Linked DNA regions of Arabidopsis thaliana. The protein of the gene in region 2 interacts with the protein of the main gene of each other region in a pairwise test. Each region holds a gene or a part of one and is shown on either strand. Other genes may lie near its edges. The genes, in order: PP2-B14, CW7, PFA-DSP2 and AT3G09980.

What was found.
Region 1: the proteins of CW7 (region 2) and PP2-B14 interact in a two-hybrid assay, tested with the Arabidopsis thaliana proteins (one large-scale study listed by BioGRID).
Region 3: the proteins of CW7 (region 2) and PFA-DSP2 interact in a two-hybrid assay, tested with the Arabidopsis thaliana proteins (one large-scale study listed by BioGRID).
Region 4: the proteins of CW7 (region 2) and AT3G09980 interact in a two-hybrid assay, tested with the Arabidopsis thaliana proteins (one large-scale study listed by BioGRID).

What each region holds. Positions count from the first base shown.
Region 1 is NC_003070.9:21,058,754-21,064,960, reverse strand, and holds PP2-B14 (phloem protein 2-B14), read left to right. Parts: upstream 1-1,913; 5' UTR 1,914-2,116; coding exon 2,117-2,368; intron 2,369-2,462; coding exon 2,463-2,581; intron 2,582-2,737; coding exon 2,738-3,215; 3' UTR 3,216-3,439; downstream 3,440-6,207. Other genes in the region: MDO1 (telomere-capping, CST complex subunit), read left to right, coding at 192-314. UniProt on the Arabidopsis thaliana protein: Component of SCF(VBF) E3 ubiquitin ligase complexes, which mediate the ubiquitination and subsequent proteasomal degradation of target proteins such as VIP1 and Agrobacterium virE2, after their implication in T-DNA translocation to the host nucleus (can functionally replace Agrobacterium VirF).
Region 2 is NC_003070.9:21,858,470-21,868,097, forward strand, and holds CW7 (CW7), read left to right. Parts: upstream 1-2,812; 5' UTR 2,813-3,119; coding exon 3,120-3,151; intron 3,152-3,366; coding exon 3,367-3,556; intron 3,557-3,654; coding exon 3,655-3,729; intron 3,730-4,105; coding exon 4,106-4,212; intron 4,213-4,546; coding exon 4,547-4,607; intron 4,608-4,922; coding exon 4,923-4,982; coding exon of another isoform or gene 4,983-4,986; intron 4,987-5,061; coding exon 5,062-5,136; intron 5,137-5,676; coding exon 5,677-5,811; intron 5,812-6,152; coding exon 6,153-6,207; intron 6,208-6,779; coding exon 6,780-6,902; coding exon of another isoform or gene 6,903-6,949; exon of another isoform or gene 6,950-7,193; coding exon 7,194-7,471; 3' UTR 7,472-7,520; coding exon of another isoform or gene 7,521-7,547; 3' UTR 7,548-7,741; downstream 7,742-9,628. Other genes in the region: CF9 (Carbohydrate-binding protein), read left to right, coding at 1,299-2,444.
Region 3 is NC_003071.7:13,985,263-13,992,859, forward strand, and holds PFA-DSP2 (Phosphotyrosine protein phosphatases superfamily protein), read left to right. Parts: upstream 1-2,406; 5' UTR 2,407-2,713; coding exon 2,714-3,003; intron 3,004-3,137; coding exon 3,138-3,237; intron 3,238-3,410; coding exon 3,411-3,506; intron 3,507-4,969; coding exon 4,970-5,027; intron 5,028-5,126; coding exon 5,127-5,170; intron 5,171-5,272; coding exon 5,273-5,458; 3' UTR 5,459-5,732; downstream 5,733-7,597. Other genes in the region: AT2G32970 (G1/S-specific cyclin-E protein), read right to left, coding at 6,482-6,517, 6,605-6,713, 6,805-6,878, 6,972-7,210, 7,299-7,597.
Region 4 is NC_003074.8:3,066,704-3,073,416, reverse strand, and holds AT3G09980 (ankyrin repeat 30A-like protein (DUF662)), read right to left. Parts: upstream 4,328-6,713; 5' UTR 4,060-4,327; coding exon 3,790-4,059; intron 3,165-3,789; coding exon 3,054-3,164; intron 2,958-3,053; coding exon 2,877-2,957; intron 2,347-2,876; coding exon 2,272-2,346; 3' UTR 1,886-2,271; downstream 1-1,885. Other genes in the region: AT3G09990 (Nucleoside transporter family protein), read left to right, coding at 69-229, 304-562, 648-755.

The DNA.
Region 1 (6,207 bases), 800 kb from region 2:
GATAGTAAACTTGTCCATATAAAATCGATTTCATTCTCTCTTCATGAAATCGGGCAAAGTTGTAAATGTTCAATGAGTATATGTTAGTAACCAACTAACCATTTCAAGATGAACTTAGTTTCAAACTCATAATAGTGTCTTTGATAGCTAATCAATCGGGTAATTGATGCATAGTATATCCATTTCTTTAGGCGATCTTGCAGGCTCGAACAGGAAGAAATGTGGACGGGATCGATATGAACCTCTACCGGAAAACAATCGAACTCCTAAGGCAGTTTCTAAAAGAAGAAGACAACAGCAATATGGTTGAGTGAGGCTAATTATCAGTTGCTATCCAAGTAACATAACCCACCCACATTTTCATATTTTGTTCCTTTATTACCTTGTCTTTCACTTGTAGATGAATCTTAGGATGGTGGATATGTTTTGGTCTGCTTTTTCATATGAGCAATTTTCTGAAACGAATTTGTTTGAAATTGGCTAACCTGAAGGAGTTCGGTTTGGTAAATCGGTTAAACCGGTTGGCTTTCCACGGTAAATAAGCTCAAGTAGTTCCGTTTTTTTTTATTTATAAAATTGCAAATACATACTTGAATATAGAGAAATCTTCTACTCTTTTCTCTTAAGTCAAGAAGACATTGTTTCGTATATATTTGTTGTATATTTAATTCATTATTGTACCATATATTTTTTGTACAAATGTTATAACAATCGAAACTACCGAATGATTTCTTACCACTAGATTCAGAACTAAATAATGAACTCCTAATATTAGTTTACTATGGTCCATGAGTTTTGGCGGCTATAGTAGAGATGTTGGAAAAGTCAACTAGTGGTTTTAAAGGTAAAGTCAATTAATATTGTAACAATGTTAATGATTAGCGACTTCTAGTCAATAAATAATTCTTAAAGAAAGAAACAGGATCTTTCAATGTCAAAGGACTCGATGTTTGGTGTCGAACCTAATCAACATCCAAAATTTGACCCAAATTTAGGCATTCAAAAATAAATAACACAAGTCACCAACCCTTTTGCCTCTTGGCCACTAAATGACTTTTTAGCTAAATAATACCAACCTTTTTGCCTCTTGGCCAATAGGACTCAATGTACTTGTTGTTGTTTCGCTTGTTCAGAGTTTTCCTTGCTCTTATAGTTTCTTCATTGCACATTTATAAAGAAAATTGCAGCAAATACCAGCGCCTAAGCAATTTTGAAAGCTTTACTCTCAAAGTTATATATCTAATGTGGTGATCTTTTTTACTGATTAAAGTATCACCACTCCATCCTCATACCATCCATTCAAGTCTTTAAAATTACTACACAAAATATACAAATTAAATCATAGTGGTCCTAGACTCCTAGTGGATGAGAATCAATATTCGTCGTATATCTAACGGTACATCGTCCTCAAAGGCTTAAGCATTAATTTAAAACAATTTGTTTGCTTTTGAACTGATTAAAAATTAAACGGAGATTCGAAATACTGAACCGAAAAAAAGATATTGCTTTCAAAGACAGACTTTTAAACCGAAAAAACAAAAATTAGTCACACTACTCATAAGTCTCTATACGTTTTCTGTATGTAAAAATAATAATCTATAAACGTGTTCTTATTTTCAAAGAATCTTTAAACATTTAATTAAACGAAAAATTTACCAAATTATCAACTTACAAATATTTTAGCAAAAAACAATATGTACGTTGATAATCTTGTTAATTTTTCGTTTAATAAATCGTTTAGAGACTTTTTGAAATATGAGTGAAGGACAACACTATTTGCTCTTCCGCGTTAACTTTCTCTTTTGGAAGGCCAATCTTTTACTTTTGGCCAACGACCAAACACTTTTACTTCGAAGCTAGCTATAAATAATATATAAATCCATAATATTTGACCATTGGTCTAAAATGGTCAACAGAAATATGCCCAAGCATCACTATATATTCTCACCATCTCTATCTCCAAGCATACTTCATCTATCATAGCTACAAAAAATCAAAGCATCATATTTACTCACAAAACGAAATTCTTCAAATTCTAAGAACTCAGTACCTTTCTGTTTCATAATACTAACAATTAAAGATATATTAAGTTTTTACTCGGCAAAAGAAGAAGAAGATGATGATGTTACCAGAAGCATGCATAGCCAACATCCTTGCCTTCACATCTCCGGCGGATGCATTCTCGTCGTCAGAGGTCTCTTCGGTTTTCCGGTTAGCCGGAGACTCTGATTTCGTATGGGAAAAGTTTCTACCATCGGATTACAAAAGCCTCATCTCTCAATCTACTGATCATCATTGGAATATTTCTTCCAAAAAAGAAATTTATCGATGTTTATGTGACTCTCTTCTCATCGATAATGCTCGAAAGGTTCGATTTCTATGAGTTAAATTTGAACAAAAAAATGGATATCTTTCTTATTTACTTGAACTAATAATATCTTCCGTGTATGATGCAATTTCAGCTGTTCAAGATCAATAAATTTTCCGGAAAAATTTCCTACGTTTTATCAGCAAGAGATATTTCCATAACACATAGTGACCATGCATCTTACTGGTCTTGGAGCAATGTCTCAGATTCTAGGTCAGTTGTTTTTCTTTCTTTTCTTAAAACATCTAAATATGCTTTGTGTACATTTACTGAAAATGTTTACAATTTTTAATTATTACCATGATTAACAATAGATATATATATATATATATATATATATATATATATATATATTTCTAAAAATTTCAGATTCTCGGAGTCAGCTGAACTTATAATAACCGATCGTTTAGAAATCGAGGGTAAAATCCAAACCAGAGTTTTATCAGCAAACACAAGATACGGAGCATATCTCATAGTGAAAGTAACAAAAGGCGCCTACGGACTTGACCTAGTTCCGGCAGAGACTTCGATTAAATCTAAAAACGGTCAAATTAGTAAGAGTGCAACTTATCTATGTTGCTTGGATGAGAAAAAACAACAAATGAAGCGGCTATTTTACGGGAACCGAGAAGAGCGAATGGCGATGACTGTGGAAGCGGTTGGCGGGGACGGGAAAAGGAGAGAGCCGAAATGTAGAGATGACGGATGGATGGAGATTGAGTTAGGAGAGTTTGAGACACGAGAAGGAGAAGATGATGAAGTCAATATGACTCTTACAGAGGTGAAAGGATATCAACTAAAAGGTGGCATTTTGATTGATGGTATTGAAGTGAGGCCTAAAACATAATCAAGATGACTACGGAAGCTATGGATTGTTAAATGAAATTGAGAGGAACTCAGGGGTTGTGTGAATGTGTTTTACTAAATTGGTTGCATTTGTTCATTTATTATCGTGTACGTTGAAAAGAGTAGAAGTTTTAGTTTTCAAGTTTCAATTATTTGGCTCGTTGAAAATAATGTACAATCTTAGTGGGTGTCACGAAACTGATTAACAATTTAAATTTTTTATTATTAACGTAATCTTCGGTTACATAATAATACAAGTTGGAGTTATATTTACGTAGAGAATTATGTAGTTATATATTAGATGCTCATGCCATTTGCCATTATTTGTCTGTTAGAGAAGATATGTCAGAGAAAAAGTGTGTTCATAATGTAAGTGAATACCCTCAAATTATTCCAAATTACAAGTTATGAAGGACATGTTCCAAATTTCTTAGTAAATCACCTGAAATAGTTTAGTGGTTTCTACATGTGGAGGAGTCAGCATCTAGGTATGAGTAAGGGATTGATTCTCCTCAACCGCGAAGTTTACTAAATCTCTCATTTGGCTAGTCGAAATGGTATTATACCTTAAACCCATTAGAAAATCAGGTTAGTGAACTACTCGACGGCTACATTTATCAAGTGGTTTAGTAGGATAGTAAAAGCCCAAATCAGCACTTAATTACTAAAAAAAAAAAAATAGATCATACATAACTTCTATATATATAAAAATTTCCTTGTTTTCTAAATCTATAATTTTTAAATAATTATTTTTGCTTTTATTGATTTATATTTTTCAATAAAACGTAAGGGATATTATAATGTTGTTTCATTTCTTTAATAGATAGCTAAAAATACATAAATTTGAGTGAAACTTTTTCTATAATATATGATAGAATTAATTAAAAAAAAAGTAATGTGTGAAAAATCTACAACAATTCTTTATGGAATAAATAGAGTATGCTATTTTACACGTGTGGGTTCATGAGAAAGTCAAGTAAATGATTAAGTGTTGCTTAGGATAAAATACAGTTACAAAAGTTGTGTACGGTCAAGGAGTCAAACTTCCAAAAGGAGGGGCTAGTTTATCCAATACGCGCCCACCGGTTGCTAATTCGTGGTCAAATGTCAATAGCATATGATTTGTCAACACTAGTTCAATTAACTGTAACCAAGAATATCTTCACTTTTTGGAAATAACCAAGAATACTATAGTATGTTAAATAGGGTATGGTGAAGCCAATATATGTATCTGGATTTCCGTCCAACAAGAAAGAAAATTCAATACTGTGAACTCAAATGTTACTAATATATATATTTATTATATATAGTTTCATTTCATAGGAGTTCGGCTCGAGCAAATCACACTATCTTCCATAGTAGAATTGATGATATGGATTTATCGATCTAAACGATATAAATAATATAATATTATAAATATATATGTGTATATATATATATTATATTGCATAATTAATATATTTTTGTTTATATTTGGAGTAAAATTATTGTGTGTGGTTCATCTTCATCTATCTTTTTCCGGTTTTTTAAATCTTAATATCTTCATATGAATCTTCTTGAAGTTTTTTAGTTCAATATAATTATATATTTGTAATAGTGATGGTTGATGATAGGGATTCTTTTTTTTTGGTAAGTTGATGATAGGGATTCTTAAAATATTCAATTCCACACCCTTAATTAGCCTTGCATTGTCTTTTGTATAAAATTTATCGAATGCGATTGAATGAGACTTTGGATATTAGAAATATATATATATATATATATATATATATATATATATATTTATTTCTTTAATTTTTATTTGAACCAATGGGAACAAAATTTATTAGCATGATGTAGAAAGTACTTCCATTTAGCTTTCAATCCAGCCAAACTTGAATCATCTTAGGAGGTTATCTGTCATTTTCACTCCAAGTAGTGTGATAAGGAAAAAAATTAATGATATAGAAATATCAAAAATTTGTAATTTAGTTAGCTATTCAAAAAAAAAAAAAAACAACAACTTGTAGTCTCTTATTCTTAGTTTAGTAAAAAGATTTCTTGTATCCAACTCTGGAACATATATCTAATAATTTTCTTTTGTCATAATCGCTAAATTTGGAATAGGGTCCTAATTTTTGTGGGCTCGAATATAGCTCTTATATTCTCTCTTCCGAAATGGACTTGAACTAAAGATATCCTTGTCAGTGTTCGTGTTTTCTAGCAACGAAATCAATGGACCAAAAACAAACTTGATAGTTTTGATAATGTTTTTGAAAATTTTGCTTAATCATCAATGGAGAGAACCCAATATGTTGTATGTATATTAACTGAGGACAGAAAATAATGCATATGAATATGTTGAAGTTAGTAATCTCAGAAAAGCTAGTTTTAATATGTTTACATGTTATACGATTATATTTGCAAGTGTTGTATTATATTAACTTCGGAAAGTGTTCTTTTTCTTGTAGTGCGAAGTTTTTGGTTAAATTGTTGGTAACAAGTTTTCGAAACATTTACGATGCAAAAGTTCGTTATTCAAATAGTATCAAACTATGAATCTATGATATATTCTTATGGTCAGTAGATGAGGATATAATAAATCAATTAAGTGTTTGGCATTCATGATTTGTTGACTACATATGATATATTCTTCATTTTATATAGATCACACTTTCTCTTTTTTGTAAGTAAAAACGAAAACTCAACAAACACACGAGGTATCTTTTGGTCTAATAAATAACATGTAAACACCTACGCGTTTAAACGTCCTTGTTTGCCTTCGGAAATAACAAAGAAAAGTCAAAACAATTTGTCAAATAGGGCAGATGACTGACTGTTCTGTAACTTTAAGGCAATCACCAATGTATGTCAGTTTCTTTCAACATGAAATGAATTTCTCATAAATGTTGATACTAAGACATTAAGAGTAATTAGCAAAATTGTCAAGAAAGGATTAGAAAAATAGCAATAAAAAAAATCAATAAATATAAGTCCTATTCATATTATGTAAT
Region 2 (9,628 bases):
GAAGATCTTGAAGTAAAGATATGGAAAGAGGATACATTCCACGACCTAGAAGGACGAGATCCACAATGGAACACTCGGGAACCTTAGGAAAGTACTTACAAGGAAGAACTTTTTTTTTTTTTTTGTCAAACACAAGGAAAAACCCTAACTTGAGTTTAACGGAAGAATAATATCTTTGTATTTGCGTGCTTGTGTTCTTGGAATCAAAAAAGAAAAATATTTTGCATCCGTGTTGTTTCATTTTTTATTCCTCTGGTTATCTAAGATGTTAAATTTAATCCGTACAATTTGGCGTCGTCTGTGTGGAACGCTACACAAAAGTTCCCTCAGAATCTACCACTAAGCTAAGACTAAGGCCAATCAAATACGAGAGAAAGATGAAAAGACAACTGTCGATCGACAATGGTAACGCTGCCAACCTTCCCAGATTAATAATTCTTAATGTGGAACTAGAAAAAAATACAACACCTAAACAAAATAAACTAAAACCGGCGGACAAAATGAAAGTTTCATAAAATTTGTCGTAGAAAGATGAGTTTTTTCTGGAATCTAAACTATATGGAAGGGAAACTAAAGACGGTATAAATACAAAGCAAAAGTTATCAAACCAAGATCAAAGGAGGCTGAAACCTTTAACTAAGAAAAAAGCAAACATGTTTAAACCCTAAGAAAAACCATAGACCAAAAAAGCAAATAAACTTCTTCTTCTATTGCACATGTGATGAGATTTACCAAGAATGTCCACTACCAACCCAAAAATAACATCAATCACCTCCTTTCGCAATAAGAGTCGATTTCTCTAAACAAGAATAAATAACTTCATAACCCAGCAAGCAAAACCACTAAAAAAACGTCAAACACACATATGACATACTCATTCGTGTACATTTTTTCTTTTCTTATGAAGATATGTCAAACAGAAATTATTTTACAGCAATGAAGATATGTCATTTCAGGTAACTGATATGGTAATACGGAAAAATATCCTAGTAATATTTGGTCAGCAAAATTGGTTTTGCCATAACCGGAAAGATTCCAAAACAATCGTCACTTTAAAATCAAACCAACCGAACATCGAAAAGATTCGTCTGTTGTTGTCTTCTTCTTCTTCAACTTGTTCTTTGTTTCTCTTTCGCCTCTTGAGTTCCTCACTTCTTGGTTCTACCTTCATTCATGTCTCTATCCAAATCTATCTGGTAACTCAAAATCATCACTTCTTCTACTCAACAATTTCACAATCCCATCCCCAATTTTACAATCCCTAGATCTCCCTCCCTCTTCAATTCGCTGTAGTTTTCATGGACCTTGTTCGATTGAGAGACATAGGTTCAATTTCACCTCAGAGAAGAAGGAAATGGCTGATTCTATTAGCGGTTTTCGGTGTTTCGGGTTACGGAGTTTACAGGGTTTACAATTCTCAATACATCGCTAAGAAGACGAAGCGTCTTATGAAACTCTTCTCAGGCATTGTTTCATTCGCCGAAATGGTCATCGATTCCGCGGAGACGATAAGTATCGTTTCTCGAGATTTGAAAGAGTTTCTCGAATCAAATTCCCACGAAATCCCTAATAGCTTGAAACAGCTATCGAAAATCACCAAATCAAAAGAGTTCACTGATTCTCTAGCTAGGGTTTCTGAAGCTGTAGCGATTGGTGTTTTCCGTGGGTATAATTCCGATCCAAACGTCGAAAAAGAATCGAATTTGAGTGTAGTTGATAGAGTTTTCTCAGAGGAAGGAGCTGGTTTTGTTTCTGTTGTTGTTGGTAGTTTTGCTAAGAATCTTGTTCTTGGATTTTACTCTGGTGAGATTGAGATTGGTAGTGATGATTCTTTAAAACCTAGATGGATGAATTTGCTTAGTGATGATAAGTGTAGAGAGCTTTTAGCAGATTGTATTGAGAGATTCACTAGCTCAGCTGTATCGGTGTATATCGATAAAACGGTTGGTGTTAATACTTATGATCAGATATTCGCTGGTTTGACGAATCCGAAACATCGAGATAGTGCTCGAGATGTTCTTGTTTCGGTTTGTAATGGAGCTCTTGAGACGTTCATGAGAACTTCTCATGATGTCTTCACATCTTCAGGAGAGAAAACCGATTCCTCCTTGAGGAAGTCGGAGAATCGAGAAAACGGATGGGCAGAGGCGCTTTCGACTACTTTAGCAGTGCCGAGTAATAGGAAGTTCATGTTTGATGTTACGGGAAGAGTGACGCTAGAGACGATGAGATCAATTCTTGAGTTTGTAATCTTGAAAACGTCACAAAGTTTTAAGAGGAGTTTGGATGTGATTCATGAAGAAGTTACAGAGAGAGGACGTCAAGTAGTTGGATACGTTGGTGCCAAATCTTCAGTGATAATCACTGTTTGTCTTGCGGTTTACTTTCACATCTTTAACCGCTTTGTTCGAGGCCCTCCGGTTTGTTTAAGCCAGCAATTCTAGTTAATCGGATCGATCTATTAGCTTGTTAGAGTTGTTAGGGACATTAGATCTTCAGCCTTCCATATTCTTATTGGTAAGTTGGAGCTGAATAGCGTAGTAGAGTCTTAGCAGTGTTATGTACCCACATATTCATTATTGTTTATTTATAGAGGATTCTTGAGATAATCTCTGCATCTATGCTACCATTTCCAGTCAAACCATATAATGTATTCGAATGGATGTTGCCGGCGGAGCGGACTAGGCAACTCTATTTCTTGGGGCGGATTTATCCGCATCAAATTTATCTTTATGTAAGAGCCGTATGTAGTAAAATATTTTTAATTTTTTCGGGCATATTAAGACGGACTATAATTCATGAATGGTAAATAAAAAATAATCTACTCCACAAACGGATTTATCCGCTAACAACCATGAAAGAGAAAAAAGATTTAATTGTCACTGTAGCAAATCGGCAGTTATTGAGGTTTCCCCGCTCCGATTGACGCAACACGCCAAGATTTTGCCAACGCTAAAGCAAATCAGATCGAAGATTTGTGCTCTCTTCTATCTCTCACTCGCATCGAATTCAGCAAAAATTAAAATTGAAGAACGAGTCAAAGATAGAGAGAGAAAAACCCTATTCGATCACGAGATCGTAATCAACGTTTTTAGCAGAATCATCGGAGGGTAGAAAAAATGCTCAACGATGGCGAAGTAACTCCTTCTAGGTAAACAAGTCAGATTCTTTTGTTGTTCTATGTTTGATCTCGTGCTTAGTTCCAGTCACTGCTCAAATTGAAATGAGATAGTTTTCTATTTGATGAATTTTGTTATTCCACCATGAAATTGCTTAATTCGAATACTAAGATTTCGTAGTAATTCAGCATTTATTTGATTCGATCTTGCTTAAATTGATTTTGTTGTCTGCTTCATGTTTTTTCAGACATGAGATTCTGAGTATGGTGAAGAAGCACTCAAAGTCATTAGGAAAGACGTCTCTTGATGAGCAAGATGCGTCTGATGTAGAAATGGACTCTAATTTCTGGCATGGTGTGTTTGATGTGTACTTTGTTCGTTGCATGGAGTCGAGGAGGCGACAAGACGATGATCTTCTGTTTTTTGTCAGGAAATTGGTATGTAAAGCTTGGACCTTTTTCTCTCAGTCGAAAACTTAGAACTTTGTTATCATCCTTCTTGTTAATGTTGTTGAGTGTTTTGTTGCTTTTGCCAGAGCTGTAAGTCATATGGTTTGACTGAAAATGAGGATGCACCAGCTCCTTACTTTGTACGCAGGTGGGCACCTAAGGTAAAAAACTGTACGAAATAATACAGATACCTAGTTAGATCTCACTACATGAGGTTTGGTTTTGACATGTAACATTTCAACTGCGATGTAAAAATTGTATATTAACAAGGTCTTAGATTGCAACTCCCCTGAAGGTGATGGAAATATTAATTTTACTTCTTTTCGGGTGAGGGATTAAAGTAAGCTAGAGTACTACGTGCTTATTGTAAAGGATTGTCTTTTCTGGCCTACATGCTAAAGCTTTTCACGATCCATCATATCTTATTTAGACCATGGGACAGAGACACTTCGAGTAACCATTTATTTGTTGTGTTGCACCTTGTATGTATTGTCTACAAACATATGATAATGCATTTCTTTCTTACTTGTAAAGCAGTTAGATGAGCTGCTTGGTGAAAGTCTGGCTGAAGTTGATTGGAGGAAATCATTTTATTTGAACATGATTGCCCACACATCGTTCACTGTTACTGTTGCGATTTGCAGGTAACCGTTTCAGTCAGATTGTGATTAGCGGCATCCTGTACTAATTTCATGTTGTCTAATTTACAGCAGTTGTCAATTCTTGTTCTGTTATTGCTAATATTACTATCCTTCTTTCCTGTTTGGGGTTCAAACTCATCTTATTGCATCAATCATTACTTCAGTCTAGCTATTTATTAGGTTGGAATCTCAGATACCATCTTCTTAGTTTCAGTGATTAGGCCTTGAGTCATTTTTATGACATGTTCTCTGGTCTATATACTACTTATCATATGACTTTTTGTCTTTCCATTTGACTGCATCATGGTAACTTTGTTTGAACTACTTGTGTTTTTAGTAATGAGGCCCTTAAGACGTACCAAGGAAGTAAAGACACAAAACTATCTCCTATATACAAGGTTAGAGATCCTAAGAGTTTTGGATAATATTACTCTTGACTTTTCAACTCTTCTATAATCTTTTCATATGAAAAAGAAACTGAAGCCAAAGAGTAGTTATATACTCTGCTGTTCAAAATATATCAGTGCAGCTTTGTTCTAATCATCAACCTATTAAGAAAAGAGTAAGGAAACGGAATATGAATTCAGTTTTGTTTTCATAAGGAGAGGACTTTTCACATGAGTCTTGGACCAAGCATATGGATATTTCTTTGGTTTCATTTTCTGTAAGTCAATAGTAATCATGTTCTCTAATCTGACATTCATATTGTGCAGGTTGTAAAAACTGTATATGCATCACCTAGTCGTGTTAATTTTCATCTGGACTCAAAGAAGGCAAGTATAGTCGCTTTTCTCATACCAATGTTTGTCCTTTTGGAATTTGTGTTTGATGTTTCCATTGTTGTTTACCTAGGAAGTGGAAACAACACCTGCCTACCCAGAAATTTGTTTTGCCGTAGATGATTTTGACTCAACCTTTGATGCTGTGGTAACAAATTTTCTTCTCCCTTTTTGTTGTATTGTCCTTCCAACTGTTATATTATGTAGTCATTTCGTTCAAAGAAACTCTAAACATGAATGTCAAAGGAATTATGACATTTTGTTCATAATGAAATCGGCTCTGGAAGAATAGTTTTTAGTTGAGGAAATATGCATGAACTCCCCTTTGTCACTAGGGTGAAGTTACGTGCATTCTTAGTTTCTCCTTAACTGGATAGTAAAATCTTTTGTAGGATACGTTTGTTGGCTTTTGGTACAGGACTGGAGGATCCAGATAATATTATTTCAACTACCTCTTGCGGTGCTTTAACATCCTCTCCTTATTTGAGTTTAGTACCTGCTATTTATTATCTTCTTCAGAGGATTGGCCTGTCTTCTTCTTTAGTTTTGCTTAGGCGTAGAGGAGTTTGGCTTTATGATTCCTATAAATAACTTAAGTCGTATGGTTAGGTTTCATGCATGGAAGTTGTTATACTGACCATAGTTTTTTTCCAACCTTGTTCATTGGCTTTGTCATTGATGTTTTCAGGTTCTGACAGATAAAGATCATTGCTATTGCGTACTACTTAATTCTCACGATGGGGCAGCCTTTCCAAGTGCAACTGTTAAAGATTCGAGTGATTCTAATACGAATGCTGACCCTAGAACTGTGAAAGATCCTAAGGTCTAGTTTTTTCCCACCTATGCTTCACTATTTTCAGCAGTTGCTGCCAATCATCTATCAATTATTCATTTGCCACCTGCTATGAGTTTCAAATAGATTCCTTAATTTGTGGTTAATGCTTGAAAATATCTTGTAACCATGTCATACAGAGGAATATGTCGGTAGTTTCACTGATGCTTGCAACGGTCGATCTTAAACAAATTAACTAAAGTATTGTTTGTGATTTTTGTAAAGATGATTTAACTTCAAGCTCAATGGTTTTCAAAAGGCCTATGGACACATTACATGGTCGTGACTTTCTAATGAGAAAGAAATTGACATGCTGGTGCTTTTGGTTGCAGGTTACTCTGTTTTCTGGGTTTGTCAGCTATCAGATGGTTCGAGAAGCCTATGAAGGTCACTTTACAGTTTCTTTTCTATTTCTTATTCAGTTTTAGAACCTAGTTCAATTCTCCAGCAACTTTTGTAGTTATGGTTTACTTGCCTTAGTCTTCTAGTACTTAGCACTATCATTGTCGATCTCGGTCTTTCATATTTCTCCCAAAATATTTGATGGAAAGTATATATTAAGGGTCCATGATAGTACGGAACTTGGTCTCGAGCTTGACTCCACTATAGCACACAGAATTCATTAGTGGTTATTCATGTCAGGGAAACATGCAGTCTTAATATTCATGCCTTTACTCATTTACTCAAAAAGTAAAGTCGAAATTTTTGGAAGTAGTATGGTTCGTTTAGAGATCAAGGAGGTGTGAATATGAAACGGTACCCAACCTGACAACCTCAAGATGGCTGGACTACAAAATTAACTTTTGTAGACATGGAATTTTGAGATATTAAGAGCTAAAAGACCTAAAGGAACCTATTGCTTGTTTCCTTGTCTATATAGGCTGAGATCGCTTTCGTTGATTTGGGCTAATTAATATTTTCACGCTTTATGTTTTTTCATCTAATAACTTTTATTACAGGGGGGAGGAATCGGTTTGGAAGTCTCCTATCTCTCGGTCATATTACAGGAAAAGCAGACAGACTTTATATGAGAGGCCCAGGAGGACGTGGAGAAGTTGAAGTAGCTGTTTCTGGCGTTGTAGGTACTTTTCATTTCTTATGCTTGAATGGCTCTTTATTTTCCTGTTAGTGTTTTGTTTCCCTATTTTCTCGAGTGTTACAGTGCAGTTAGTAATATTCCATGGAAGATAAAAAAAAAAAAGTAAAAACATAGAGAATGCCCTAGCCAACAATTGTCTTAGGTCGGATTGTCTTAATAGCAGCAATATTTAAGAAGTACAATCGCCAAAATTTAAGAGTAGGAGACTTGTTGAAATGTATATTGAAGACGTAGTATGGTTTAAAGGATGATTGTATAGAATTGCTTTTCTCAGATCAGAGCCAAGTAGTTTTAGGGCCTGTTTCACCTATGTCTTCAAAGAAGAGCATCGATCTCGGATCCATTTTCCGTAAAGCAGCCTCTGTTGCATCTGTCGCAGCTAAACATGCAATAGCAGCTGCTACTGCCTCTTATGATGAAGACGAGATGTTCCCTCTTAAATGCTGCTTAATGTCCATTTCATTACCATGGGACACTATTGCTCATGATCTTTTATTCAAGGTAACAAATGATTTCTCTTTAGCCACACCGGTCGTCAACAATAGACACTAATAGATCTTTTCGATATTGCTGATCGATTCCACTAATCGTCTTTATTTAGGCAACTCCACCAGTCAACATGGAGTAGCACACTCTGGAATGAAGCGTAGGAAACAGAAGTTTGTGTGTTTTGTCTAAATGTTTTTTTTTTTTGTACTTTGATTGAATATTCCTTTTGTGATGTTACTCGACTATGTGGTTTACCACAACCACTGTTATTACCTCAAGGAATAAATGAAAGTAAAGTTGTGAATTTGCAATCATCAAGTCTATATGTTTTGGCTACTCTTCTTGTTTAGTATAATGTGGACTCGCTCAGCCTATACTTTGACAAACAGAATGAATTTCGGTTAGTTAATCAAGGTCCGGTTATTTATATAAAACTTAAGTTCGGTTCGGATCGATAAATCTTTGATTCAGTTTGGTTCGGTTTTTAGGTCGATCCCTATGAGATACAGATGTCTTGCATAGAAAGTATAGAAGATATGGTATTTAAACATGTGAAATAAAACAGCTTTTTGCCATCTTTTGTTGGACTTTACTTGAGAATGTGGAATGCTAAAGAATAAAAAGAAATTAGGGTAGACAAATAAGGAGGAAGCACATGAATCCAACTCTTGGTGGTAGACATTTCTTATTAGATGACAAAACTCTGTTTTAGGTTAAACTAAGGTGTATAGCTTTCTAAGAAAAGGAATTGTGTTAAAATATAGATCGGTTGTTAGACATTTCCTAATTAGATGACAAAACTCTGTATCTGAGGTTAAACTAATGCTTCTATTTTAATAACAAAAAGGAATTATGTTAATATATAGAGAGTCGGTTATAGAAGTTGTGAAAATGTGAATGCATGTTTTAGTCCACTTACAAAAAGCCACAAAAAGTCACAAACAGTGGACTTTGGATTTTCTTGAAACGTGATTACAAAGGTCAAAATATAAGAATAGTATGTTCTTTAACATCTTTTGCCCTGGAAATAATTGTAGGCAAAAAAAAAATGACCCATTATCTAAATTTTTAATTTAACAAAAAAATAAAGTAAAATAGGCAAGATTGGTTTTATACCCCAATGGAGAAATATTTCAATATGTCACAGTATTATAAATTTTAACGGATAAATTTTCTTTCAAAACATGTAAAGATTTACGAAAATACGTACGAATATATTTACCCTACTTAATTAAAAAAAAAATGATTCAAAATTATAATGATACTATAAAGAGAATGCAGCTGTAGTTTCACTTGTATTGTTTACTTTATCTTACTAAAAAGATAAGAAAATCCAAACACATAATAAATAAACTAAGACGTAATATGCTTTTTGTTAGATTCTTCGCCATTAAGCTAAGCTCTCATCTTCTTCCTCTTGTGTCAAGACCTACACACCATTTTCTCCCCTAAGTCTTAACTTAATAAGTTGTGTAGAAACTTAAAAAAAATCTTTTATGTATAGAGTTTTATCTGATATTTTTTTTGTCAATTACATGTACTTAATATGCGAGCTTGAATCTGGAATCGTTTCTAGCAGTAGAAGGATAAAGTGCGTGCCCTCTTTTTATCACATTGAAAAAAAAGTATATGAAAATGATGCATTTTATTGGTTTGAACTCTGAACCTACTGAGTATCTATACCAAGAAATCTTACACAAAATTGGTCTAATAACTAATATATATTTTGAGGCCCCAAATCAAAATTTTATGTGCTTGTGCCAAGGAAGGATCGGTCATGATAGATTGATAGTAACACAACGACAATACTAACAGAAACCAATAGGCTATAAATCCTATTCATTTTATTTTTTTTACAATATAGTTATATTTTACAAGTTTTTCAGATATTATTGACCCTCTAGTATTTTACCAATTATATAGTTTAAATGGTGACAACCTTAAACACCCAGTCCTTTATATTAATCAAAAAAACAAAAAAAAACAAAAAAAACAATAATCTTACAATGACAATGTGAAATTAATACACTATCTCTGTAGTTAAAAAGTAGTGCTACGAAAGTGATAAAAGTTAAAAAGCAGTATCCAAACAAAAGGTATAAAAGGATAAAAAAACAAAAGTTAAAATAATACAGTAATAATGTTATCTAGAGCACTAATCGACAAACATTCCAATTAATCTCTTAGATTGACTCTGATTATGACATTAATACTTAGCAC
Region 3 (7,597 bases), on a different chromosome or scaffold from region 2:
TTTCCTAATAATGTACAGAAAAAAGCCATAAATACAAACTTTCACTATAAATAGAAATAAATTCGTTATCGATTCACATGGGCGGAGACAAAGAATATATTTAGACACAGAATATATTTTATACGATATGATTTTTAGTCTGTTGTCCTTTAGGTTTGAAGAGAGGTGGGAATGATTGGATCGGCTTCTCATCTCCACTTCTTCCACAGTGTCCAACTTGAGAACCGAAAAATAATTGGAGAGATAGGAATCGTTTCTCATCAAATTCCCACTTACTTATGTTAAGCCACTTAAGTAGTGGAACAATAATTCAAAACTTATAATAATATTCTTTTACCCAAAACTCTTTTCATTTGACCAAATTAGTAATCGAGTTGGTAATTACTAGTTATGTATACATTCTGACATTCACTATCCAAGTTGTTTTCCAATAAGTAGAAAGTTTAAAGTATGCGTAGCTCGACATTAATTAATTAGCTTCTGTTAATTATATGATTAAGGACGGTTCATAAAATAGTATTTAAACTGCTTTTTACAAGTAGTTTGAGTTTTAGCAATCATGTGATGATTCAGATAAATTTATATATTTTAAATTTATATTGAAGCAATCGTTAAACGAAGTTGAAAATGCGTTAATAAAGTATCTGACATATGGTAAGTTTAATGGGTGTAAGAACAATATCCACTATCTACTAATAACATTACTCAAGTGTAACGACATGGTGTTAACAACATTACAACAAATTTTAAGCATGTATATAAGAATATACATGAACTCAATTTTCCTTGATTAAACTAGTCATGGAATCAAGTAAAGAGATCCAATATTGAAGTTTTAATTATCAACAAGACAAGGCAATATAAATTCTAATGATGGTATCAAATATGAGGTGGGATAATATTGAGAGAACGAGAGATAGACCGAGATCAACGGTACAAATGATTACCAAATAAGGATAATTGTTTTTTGACAATTATATCGATCAATCTTTGATTTTACCAATAAATAATGTTAGTTTTCAAAATATTCTTAGCAAGGAATGGTAAAATTAGCCATTAGTTCCCAAACATTTGTTTAGCTCAAGTGTCATTACAAAATTCATTTTTATTTGCTGAGTATTATATCGATGTTATTAGTTTCAGTTCTCGTTCAATTCTGTTTGTTGATAAAACCTTTTATGCTCGTTCAATTCTGTTTCGAAAGAGAAGTATGAACCTATTTTTAATATTGGTTGGAAGTTGGAACAGTCTATAGATCAAAACTCTAAAATTGCTTGGTACGGTTAAAAAAAAATATTCCCAAGATTTGTAAAAAAAAATAGTAACAATGAAACAAAATTAGGGTTTTACTGTACATTCTTAAGTCTTAATACGGAAGCTCTTTACGGTGTGGAGCCCAGCTCAGCTCGGGACCCAAAACCTTTCCTAATCTGAAGCATATTCCATAGAATGTACCTTTTCAATTTCTCCATTAGTTTATTTTAGTATTTTCTTTTCATAAAATCTCGTTACATTTTCAAAAAACAGTTATATAGACATAGACGGAAAAAAAAAAACTAAATTTTTTTTGTCGAACACTTTGCAGCATGTGTATTGGTTCGGAGCTCATGAGAGGCCCGTACAGGCATACAATCTTTTATATGTCTCTTGAGTCCTGACTCTTGTTTTTCACAATATATATTGATGGACTACTAAAAATAGTAGGAGAACATTAGTTGCTTAAATGGTTTGAGGAGTTATGTGAACAACTGAACATAACATTTTTGTTAATCATACATGAAGATAAGTCTTTTTTGAAAATATATCTCAATTAATATATAGAGAATTTGAGAAAGCGTTAGCGTTCCTAATTTCATATATGGAGTATAGCATAGTTTATAACACGGGACTGCTATAGAACATCTATAATAATCCCATTAAATTTTTAGCGATCGATTTACAAATTACAAATCTATAGTAATTGTTCGATCGGTTGATGGAATTACTACAACGAGAAACAACAATTTGATTTTGTTGACTAGTTAAATTCTAATATACATATATATATATATAAAATTATATACCAATATTAGCTTTTTGTCGGTATTTACCAACACAATTAACTATAACAATAGATATTGTAATAAATCACATATCATATAGATATATCTTATTAACACGATATGTAAGATAATTGCTCTAAAATAAAAACTTCTATAGTAGTTTATTTTTGTCACCAATTGAATATTTTTCCTTTTGGGGTGGAAAATATTTGTGGTATCTCAATAAGCTTCTTGTGTATCCCACCCCCCACCATGGCATTCCTACAATTTAATAAAGCCGTATTTTCACTTTCACTCTGAGTCATTTTTATTATATTGTCATTTTCGACAAAATCGAATTTAGATTGTGCATTATATATTCTGACGAAAACAAAGAAAGATTGTTGCATTAATTTAATTTAAAAAAGTTGATTGAAAACGCAAGTCTCGTTCATCTCCTCCAAATGTTCTTTTTCTTTTTTTATGTTCTTTCTCTTCTAAAAGTCCAACAGCGACAACATAGGTTTCTCTCTCTACCATGGCGTGTCTATATAAAGCAAGGTCGTCGATTCATAACGACCATCTCCATTACTTCTCCATAACCTTTCAAGAAACAAAAACAAGATAAGATCTCTTCAGATTCCTACACTCCAACAAATATAAGTTTCATTAGATTCTTTCTTAGCTAGAGAATGAAACTGATTGAGAAGACGATGAGCATGAACCAGTTTAGGACTATGGAGGAGGAGAAGCAAGACGGTGGTGAGCTTTTCCATACCATCGAGGTAGCTAAAGTTGACCGGAACAACGTGTCTCAGCCGCCGCCGGCTGCTACTGCAGCACTGCTAGAAGTTCCCGGTGATGAACTTAACCTAATTCCACCGTTGAACTTTTCGATGGTCGATAATGGTATATTCCGGTCTGGATTCCCGGACTCGGCGAACTTCTCCTTCATCAAGACTCTTGGCCTTCGCTCAATCATGTATAAAGCTACTATGATCAATTGACTCTTATATTGGAAACGTTGGACTTGTTGATTTAGGTTTTTGTGTGTGTTTTTTTTTCCTTCTGACATCAAGTTTTTGTGGTTTGTTTGTGTATGGGAAATGTGTGAAGATCTTTGTGTCCAGAGCCATATCCTGAGAACAACATGCAGTTCCTCAAATCCAATGGAATTAGTCTTTTTCAGTTTGGCATTGAAGGCTCTAAGTCCAAGGTGTGTGCCATTTTGCTAAATTTTTTTGGCCTCTGGTTTATAAAAATCCATTTCTCAATCACTGCCTTGTTCTCTGTAATTCTGATTTTGTGGTTTGAAGTTGTTGTCACAACTTTTTAGGAGGAATTATTAGAATTAAAAGTTCACATCTCTTGGATATCTTGAATTTGCAGTGTCTTCCCGGATTAGAGAACGAGGTTTGGTTGCATATTTGGAGTTCTAAGCATCAGAAAGAGGATTTTTATACAAATGGAAATTCAAAAACTTCGGTATTAATCTGAATACTATTTGGAGTTCTAGTTTTGAATTGCTTAATGTTGCCTAACTGTTCTTTAATTATGCATGTGTATCTCTAGTTTCATGTTTCCTTAGGAGTAGTAATTTGCTTATGCATGTTATGATATAGACTAGTTATCCATATTTTTTATATATGAACCGCCCAAGAAAAGTGTACACCATTCTTTAATGCTTTATTGAAGGATGCTTTTCTTGGCTCTGTCCGTTACCATTGACTCTATGGTCCCACTGTTTGTTTGCTTGCCCTTCCTCAACTAATAGACCACTTGGTCCTCTTACTGTGTATATATAATATTTTAGATAATGGGCTGCGTCAAAAATATTTCTTGCATACAAGTATTGTCAGTGATCCACTACTCAAAAGTTTTACTTTTCTTTGTGTGTATGTTGATACTGTTTTCTTGGTTCATATTAGTTCTGTGTGCACTTTGATGCATGAATGGTATATTATGTATCTTAACTTTTGGTGGTGAAAACTTTGTGGATAGTGACTTGTCGATGTATTAATGGTAAGAGTATTCACATATCAACTGGTAGGTATAGTACATAAATCAAGCTGGAATTAAGTGTGAAAGTGATAGATGGCTAAGTTTAATGTCAGTTACTGATGTGTAAATACCTACCTACCTATTGTTGCTTATGTTTTATTGGCCCTTGTTTGGATAAAATGACTTTTCGTTTCATGGAATAACCAAAAACTAGAGTCGTGAACTAGTTATCTTGATCTCCAAGTGTATAATCTGTAACTTTTTAGATATTAAAGTAGAGATAAGAAGCCAAGCAAACATATTTTACTTTTAGTTGAACAAGTTTGTACAACTTGTGATGGGGCGGCTAGTTTGATTTGATTTAGAACATCTTTATATTCGAAAGAGAAGACTGAAAGTAAATATAATTGTGCTGATTTGCTATTGTGGTAGTGATCATTCTCTCTCTCACACAAACTAAGCCTTGTGTTGTCAATTCTGTTTCATGTATATATGATATGTAGTTTGTTAATTTTTGATTTTAGACTAAACATGAAGTAAAGTGGCTTTTTTTCTTTTCTTATAATAGACTATAAGGGTATTGGATATTCCACATTCATATATTATTTATTGGCTAAGATTCTTTATGTTGGGTGTGACAACTCTCTAGTCTCTAGTCTTCATATGAAATCATTTTCATTATTGGCTGCTTTTGATGGACCCTCTTTGATCTTGTGTTTATTTTTTGTTGTGCTTAACTTTTAAAAATAGGAAGATAGAATATACTCCACAGGTCTTTTACAGTACTCTAGGGAACAGCCAAAACCAATCTAGTTTTCTGATCAATTTCGGTCTCTAAGAATGAATATAGCCGACACATCTCATCATAATTTGGATATATTTTTTGCTGGCTTGTGCGTTACTAAAGACTTACCAAGGCACTGATAGTGTGATCCTCATTTTTGCAGGAGCCATTTGTAGATATCCTAGATCAGAAAATCCGTGAAGCACTCAAAGTCCTTCTCGGTAAAAATCATAGAAGCCCTAAAACAAAGTTAAGAGAAAATCATATGTTTTGGTTATATATACAAGTCTTCTAATCCTGTCTTCTTTGTTAATCCTCAGATGAGAAGAACCATCCACTTTTGATTCATTGCAAACGAGGCAAGGTATATGTAAAATAGTAAATATCAAAAGCTATAAATCTCCTTAAATGATTTTCATTTTCTTTGTATTGACTCAACACAATGGTTTATATATGATCATTGCAGCACAGAACCGGGTGTCTTGTTGGGTGCATGAGGAAACTCCAGAAATGGTGCATAACATCGATACTCGATGAGTATAAGCGATTTGCAGCGGCTAAAGCTAGAGTTTCGGATCAAAGGTTCTTGGAGTCATTCGATGTATCAGGCTTGAAGCACACTCCAATGTCTTTTTCTTGCTCCAATAGGTAAAATAAAAACGAGACAATCAAAGAAGATTTGACCAATCCGTCATTCCCTTTTTTCCATAGTTGAATAACAAAATTAAAGGAGGAGAAAAATCATGAGTTACCTGAGGAATCATCAAATTCTTCTGGTTTTTGTTTTCTTTTTCTGAATCAAATAATAACAATAATAATTGGAAGAAGAAGAATATTGTATATCTTTTTCTTTTGATTCATTTGTAATCTAATAATGTATTAATTTATAAATTAACGCAACAAAATAAAACAACAGTTTAGTTTAATATGAAATTTATTCAACTGCAGGATTAGTATCCTCATCATGATAATAATGTGAAGCAATCACTATACTAAACTGAATAGTAAGACTAACTGGTTTGGTAAACCGATGACACATATACGACCAAACATCTCCTTGATGAGTCACATCCGAGTTAACTCGAGTCCACTCATTCTTCTCAACATTTCCGATAGGCCACTGGCCACATCAGGTTAACGTGAGTCACAATACCAGTCTGTTCAGCTTCTTCTGATCAATCCCGTGATAGTGAATAATTGATCAGAATTAAAAGGGTATTTTTTGGTGTTTAGAAGAAACATCAAAGTCGAGTAACGAGTTCTAATTTTGGTTACCAAATGTCATTGGCAAGTGAAACAAAATTTGGATGTCTATTGTATCAATTGTGCATTGGTGTGTTAATTGTTCACTGGGTTTCCTCATCAACCAACTCACATTGTTATCTAAAGTCGTTTCCATACATAAGTTATAATTACATTCTTTACAAAATCATAAAAATGTTCTCTCTTTTTTTTTGTTATTATATCGAAAACTTACCAATTCTGAAGAGGAAGACCCACTAGAAGATTTGCAAGAAGAGTGGTGAGTGTGTGTTTTCTTTCTTTCTTATATACATCATTTGGCTGAGTTGGGAGTTGGGACAATGTTTCGTGGTGTAAAACCTATCTATCTATACACTAACCTATCATATTCTCTGGCAAGAAAAAGTAATCAAAAGAATTTAAGTTTTGACTTCTATGCAAGGTGCAATTTCCTTCTCGTTTCGTCTCCCTGCGAAAAATGATCAAAAACCAGTATGAGAATCACAAATACACAATACTGATTCCCATAAGAGAAGAACATTGAGAGAAAACTTACTGTACGTTGATTGTTCTTAACAGACTTGCCATGTCTTGAGTCTATAGATTCTGGTCTCGTGGTTCGTCCATGTACTCTCTCCATAAACTCTTGTATGTGATTATATGTACTGCAAACAGAAACCAGATCAATCACAAAAAATATATGTCAGAAATGGTCATATAGAAAACTGTAAAACATGTGTAAGAAAACACTTATACCTAAGCCGATGTCTGTTACAGGCAGCAAAAAATGCTACAAAACCGTTCAATATGCTCCTGACAGCACGAAAAACCTGAAAATATGAAGCAAAACAAACACAATTAGTAATTACTGAAGTTGCAAGGATTCAGATTTTTTTCTCTTGTACTTGGCATTGTTTACTTACATGAGAAAAGAGATCGTTCCAAAGTGTACGCCACATGGAGACTTCATAAGTCTTCACAGCTGCTTGAGAATCTGATGCAAGCTGAAGTATACTGCTCATATACCTCCATAAATCTCCAATAACATCGAATATGTATGAGAAGGAAACAGCTAAACAATTGGCCAATGCAGCAACCACTCTGATCGGTGCATATACCACTTCCCATATGATCCAGAATAGAGGTAGTAAAACAGTATTTGCTGTAGCATCAAAAAGAAGAAAAATATCAGGATTATGATTATATAGAGATGAGAAAAGGAATGCTCAAGCAAACGTTTGATTACTTACTGACGTTCCAAACTAGCGAGATGGGCAAAAGCACCAACTCTACCACATCACCAACAAGATTGCAACCAGACTCCATCACTATCCAAACCACTGAAACCAAGCTTGCCACTGTTTCCGCCAACGAATTCCATAACGGTAGGAGCAATTCAAGAATGTCTAAGAGAGGATTTACCAGAGGCATTATGCAAAAAGAAACAAATGACTGCATAGCACGTGCCATAGTCAGAGCCCACTTGACAGCTTTCTGGAAGTTGTGAAGAAACAACATCGTTCCCAAGTACTTTATTCGGGATACCATG
Region 4 (6,713 bases), on a different chromosome or scaffold from region 2:
CTACATTTAGTAGAACTAAACTGGATTTTCTTACGTATGATGGTTAAAACACCTATATTTGAATGCAGGACGAGGAAGCCTTAAGATATGATCATCGGCTAAACAAAGGAGACTTGATGTTACTGTACTCAGATCTTGCGGTTACCTTGTTCTTAGTGTATCTACTGACGTTTAGCATTTTCCCTGGATTTCTATCGGAGGATACGGGAAAATACAGTTTAGGCGACTGGTAAGACCAAAATGCTAATTTACTCATGACTATTTTTGGAAAATTGATAGCTAAGAAAAAACGGTTTAAAACAGGTATGCACTAGTGTTGATAGCAGTGTTCAACGTGTCGGATTTGGTTGGGAGATACGTTCCCATGGTCAAGAAGTTGAAGATGAAGTCGAGGAAATGTCTCTTGATAACGTCATTGGGACGTCTCTTGTTGATTCCAGCTTTCAACATCACAGGCATATATGGAAGCCAAGGCTGGATGATTTTCTTGATGTCCGTTTTGGGATTAAGCAATGGATATTTGACTGTTTGTGTCATAACATCAGCCCCATATGATTTATTGGTATTTCAAATTCTCCCTTTATTTATTTATTTTAACTTTTTCGTGAAGACGATATTAGTTTAGAAATGATGAAAACTGGTTTTAGGCACCGGAGCAAAATGCACTAGGAAACTTGTTGGTGTTATATATTTGTGGAGGGATGTTTGCAGGAGTCGCTTGTGATTGGCTTTGGTTAGTTGGTAAAGATTGGTAAGTAGTGTTGCCTATTGTTTGACCAGATAAATGTAACTTCTAAAGATCTCGAAAGATAAGTAGAGACCAAAATATGCACCTTTCATTTTAATCATGTAAGACATTTGTCTCTTTCAATAAAGTCCATCTTGACATTATCTTTTGATAAGTCATCTTTTTAGTACAACTCCGTCTTATATCAACGTTTTTAAATTTCACATATTTCATGAGCTAACATATGTCTATTCCGCATTCCATAAGAGAGAAGCAAAAGTGTTTTTCTTAATAGAAACAGCTAGTAGTATTAAAAAAAAATTATTTTTCAACTTGTAGTATTAATACTACAAAAAATATTATTAAGACAAATTGTAGTATTAATACTATATAGTCTACTATATTATTCTTAGAAAAAATGTGGTGGACGATGATGATAAAGAGTGAGTGATGTTGCATACCTCATCAAAGCAACATGAGTCTTTAATTTAAGCATGCGATTTTAAAATATATAATCAAATTTTGTTTACAAGTCTCAAAAAAATTAAAAAAACAAATAATAATAATATATAATACCATAAAACATGGGATACATATTTGGAGTGGATTTGGAATTTTATGCCACATGAATAATCATTATATCAGGAGATGCTAATCAAATGAAAATAAAGGCTGCACAAAACAATAAAGGAATTTTTTTTGTTTCTTTTACGATGATATCTATGTCTCCCATTGCAATAGCCACATCATCATTGATTATTTGATCATTAATGTCTTATTATTGCACCCTCCATCAAATAATGAACAAAACGTCTGGTTTATAATTATAGTATGGTTTATATAATTTTCTCATTAATCATATGATTTATATTTGATATTAATATCAGATAAATGGTTACATGTCAAAATGTTGAGGACATATTTAATGATAAACAAATAAAGGTTTGCCTTCTGGATATTATTTTTATGAATTTCCTTCCTCATGAAACAATCATTTTTCTCTAACGGTCATTTTGGAATAAAACCAAATTCGGAAAAGGTCGACATATAGATCACATCTGATCTCGTGATGCCATCTTTTTTAACTTAACCTACCGATCGATCGCACAAGTTACACAATGTTCTATTAATCTTTATAGCTTTCCCAGCGCACATGATATAAACAAATTTCCACTTTTCTTAATACCTAACATTTTGTACATTATGCTACAAATGTCAGAACAATAGTTTTAAAGAGAGATAAGTAAAAAATCAATTGAAAGGACAATAAAGAGAGAAAGATAGTTCAGAGAAAAGAAGAAGAAGCGTTTAGTTACAAACCTGTCTTGATGAGTATTTTTTGAAGTTACTTCCTAAAAAAACCACATTACACTTATAAATTCTCCAAGAACCCCTAACAAAGATAATAATTGTAGTAGTAATATAACACACGACGATTATAAAATATAAATTACATTCACCACCACCAAACCTAAACGTAGAGTTAAAACACTCAGAGAATGATCTCTGGCCCAAGAAGTTCTTGTACTGTCTTGGATTCAAAGTCAGTGTATAGAATCTATGTTCTTGCTTAGCTCTTCCAGCTTCTTCATTCTCATCTTTTCGCTTTCTCCCACCAACTGCGAATCATTCGAATCGGAAACCGTTAAGTCAAGAACGCAATTCAAGTTAAGAACACATAACAAAATGAATATATTCGACACAGATCAGAGTGGACTGGTTTGATGAATATGTTCAGTTTACAGACAAATTATGTTAGAAAATGGCAAGAACGATCGATGTAACTCATACAAAAAGAAGACACTTAGATAGAGTTTGAAGGAACTGATTCCGCTAACTATGGAGATGACTCACACATAGCTTTAAGCAAACACACAGACCGGTCCAAGAACTCAACATCAAAATCTACTAAACACTGAATCCGCAAGATCACAAATATGCCTAAAACTATCGGTGTTTGATGCATGTCTCTCAGAACAGAGCTACAAGACAATAATTAGCTTAATGTGTTTATCCACACAAGCAAGGGTAATGTGAAAAAATAAAGGACAACACAACCAAAAATCAGAGAGAAGCAGTACAATAACTAGACCAGTTAACTCAATCATTCAAACTCAACGAAAAGAGACTTGAGCATTTGTTGACTAACCTCCATTAGCCTGGTGATTAGCTGCACCTTCTCCCTGTTCTTTTCGTTGAATGCTTCAAGAGCTTCTTTGTACTCTCGTTCCTGCAAGTTGCGTAAATAAACCAGCTTAGCATCTGAATCCTCAACAAAACATATTTTAAACACAGGTCAATGGATTTGATTATGTTTTAGCCTTACCTTTTTCTGAACTGTATGGCCCAATGGCTTTAATTCTTTGTTGACAGAATCAATCTTCTTCCTAACCATAGCAACTTCTTTCCTCATGGGATCAGCTAATCCTTCAAGTTCCTGAAATGCAGTTTAACCACTGAGCTTCTTAGTCATCAACATAACATCACCCAGGAAAAGCAAATTGTTCTTTTCATAGAAAGGAAAGAGCTTTGATCCACAGAGCTAATCTCTATCAAGTAGTGCTATAAATGTAGAAACTTTCACTGTTCTGCCCATAAATTGAGGGGAAAAAGTACTAAAACCAGAGACTAAGACCAGATTCATAAACTTTAACATCACCCAGAAGAAGCAAATGGTTCTTTTCACAAAAAACTTAATCCAAATAGCTTATTTTTAGCAAATCCAGGTTTACTTGCTATTGATCATTTAAAATCCTAAAACAAACACAAAAGCCCCAAAATTTTCTCCCCAAATGGCATAAACCACACAAAAACCAAAGGAAAATTATAAAAGAATTTGTTCAATGCAATTGTCAGATCTTGAAATTTCCAACAGTTGGGTCCTACAATTTCCCCTTAAACATGAATTAAATCCACATTCTATACAATATAAAAACCCCAAATGTTCAATTTCACATCCCAATCCAAAAAATTTCCATAACAAAAACCAAAATTGAAGCACAATTCTCCAAAAAAAAAACAATCTTTTTTTTATATATGAAATAACCAATATAGATACATACCTCACGGATCAAAGCAAGACGCTTAGTCTCTTCTTCGACACGACCAAGCTGAGCTTGAACCCTTTCCCTAATCTCCATCTTCTTCTTCTCGATCTCTTCTTCTTTCGCTCTAAACGCAGATAACGCAGTTCTAGACATCTCCTCATCTTCCTTCGACATTTGGCTGCTGAAACTCATACTTCCCGACAACTGAGCTCCCAATTGTCGGCTATGCACCGCCGGAGCCACCGTCGTCGGCTGCGACGTCTCTATTGCCTGCATCTCCTTCATCTTCACTGAAATCTCCTCTCTTTGACTCTCTCGTTACTGATCTCTCTCTCTCTCTCTCTCTCTCTCTCTGGGTCTAGATTCTTCTGTGGTAGAGAAAATAGCTAACTGAGCTTTCTTTTTGAAACCCAGAAATAGTGCTCTGATATGAACATTTATATAAAGATAATTACACATTTTCCAGAAACAAAAATATATTAAATGCTATTTTATTCGTATAACGGGAACTTTTTAATAATAATTAAAATATATTGAAACGTATATTAAAAAGAGATAACAGGCAAAAAAAAAAAGGTTATTAGGTGAAATTACCTAACTGCCACCAACAACCGATAAAAAGATACAGTGAGGGTTTTAAAGAAAAAATCAAAAATAAAAAGTAGGAATAAAGGGAAGAGAATCTGATTATTGTAACCGTTGGATCTTTTTATTATCTGATGAAGGAAGCAAAACGGGTGACCCGTAGAATCCGGTGACAGCTCGTTAACAACTCAGCTGTCCCGTCTAAACCGTCAATTCCGAACCAAACTTAACCGGTAATTTAATTCTGGTTTTCCATTGGTCCATTAACATTTACCAATCGTCGTGATTTTTTTTTCTCTCTCTTTAATGACTTGAATTAGGTATTCCATTGCTGAGCATACACACTATTGAGTTATTTTTCATTTATTAGAACCACATTACATAATTGTTGACAAAGAAAGAAACTATGGTCCACGGTTATATAACTTATATTGAAGAAAATTGAGAAAATGAGAATAATAAAATGATCTTCTAATAATAAATATACTATGAGAATATATATCCCAATATTCTTTACTAGTATAAATTTTAAAGTATTATACTAATTGTGATCCAACAGAAAAATAATAATAAGAGAGGTAAATCTTATAGGTTTTTCGACGTGTATCCGATAAAAGTGGTCAAACTTAATTTACTTTGGTAAATTTAGAGGTACTCAAGTAAGCGTTTTGCTAATGAATTTGTTATTCTCTTTCGATAAAAGAAAGTTATCAATAGAAAAAAGAGAGAGGAGAAACGTAAAAACGAAGGTAAAGAGCAGTAGCCCACTCAGCCAACGGCTTCAACTACGGGCCTTCGAAGCAAGAATATTTCTTTTTTTTCTTCACTTTTTTTTTTTCCTTTTCTCTCTTAATGGAATTTACTTTTATTTCAATGTAGTATACTATAAATTATTCCTCTAAGCTAGCCATCATATCAACTCGATGTATAACTAGTCACATTGTTTTAATGGTGGGGTATAAATCTTGTCCTCATTAGCCATTTTGAAATTTTGTTTGTCCCACAAATTAGTATATACAAAACTATACTTACTTAGTAGATCTTTTTTCAATTAATGGATGAGCTTTGGCAAGCTAAGGTTTTGTTGTTTTAATTAGCTAGGGTTAGAAAGATAGATTACCTACTAATCGACATAAAACCAATATATTGTTTTACAAGTCTCTAATGTCTTGTATGTAGTCTAATAATCAAAAACAGATTTCAAGTGTGAGTTAGTATTATACGGTTTGGTTGATTGAGCTCGACCTGAATTTTTTTTATTTGTGATCAAACTGAGCTAAGGTCCGTTAACTTCCTTAAGGAATAAACTTGTTCGAAGCAAAGCCAAATCGTAGAGATTAGAATGTACGGTGGGGATTGAGCCGATCAAAGACATAGAAAGAGGGTGATCCTTCCTTACTCGACGTGTGCTTCTCTGCCACAAAGGACCCACTAAACCGGTGTTTGTGTTATCGCGTGCACCAGATTATCATTTGGAGCCCATACTTTTTCTTTAATTATTCTTTTATGGATCCCAACTTGTCCTTGTTTTCTAAGTAAATTATATTAAAATTATGTAACATTCTGAATATCTACAACGGAATAAGTGTAACTGATGATGTGTTTATCTAACAACTTAAACCAGATTTTTTGTAAGTTAAATGATCGCAAAATGGTTAGTTTTTAATGTTCAAATAAGAAACAAAACTTAAATCGAATAGTGTGTTGAAAGCGTTTGCCACCAATCGAATACGTCTTCCATGCTTCACCGTTTAAACTTTACTTTCTATTAAGAAATTTTGCACAAAATTTTATTGATTCTCTTAATAATATAACTCTTAATTGTGATGATTATGAACGTGATTGAGGAAGAGGATATCGACTTTATACCTAATTGCCAGCATCAGCACTTACTTAGGATTTAATGGTCTCATGAAAAATGATTTGCTGTCTCTCATCAAACCTCATATTTTCCATTAAATCAATGATATGTCGTATGTATGTCTCCCTCTCCAATGTCCATGCCAGATAATTTTATTACGAATATATTATAGTTAATGGTAATTATTACGGAATCTTTGTACTTTATGACGCAAAAAATTTCAGAAATAAAAAGTTGAAAACGTTTCCCATTGTTCTGCGATCATTCGAACCTTAAATGTATACACTCCCTATTAAACAAGAGTCTGCCCAAGCAATATTATTATTTTTGACTAAAAGGACCCATCAATTTATTACCATAACATTTATGTACTTAGAATATTGTAAGGAATCAAATGTATATACATACAGCGACAACAATGGTTTCGTAGGGGCCAGAATCTTTGGGGATGTCAGTTGGATTAGCGTAACTGCCAAAATGCAAAGATACTTCC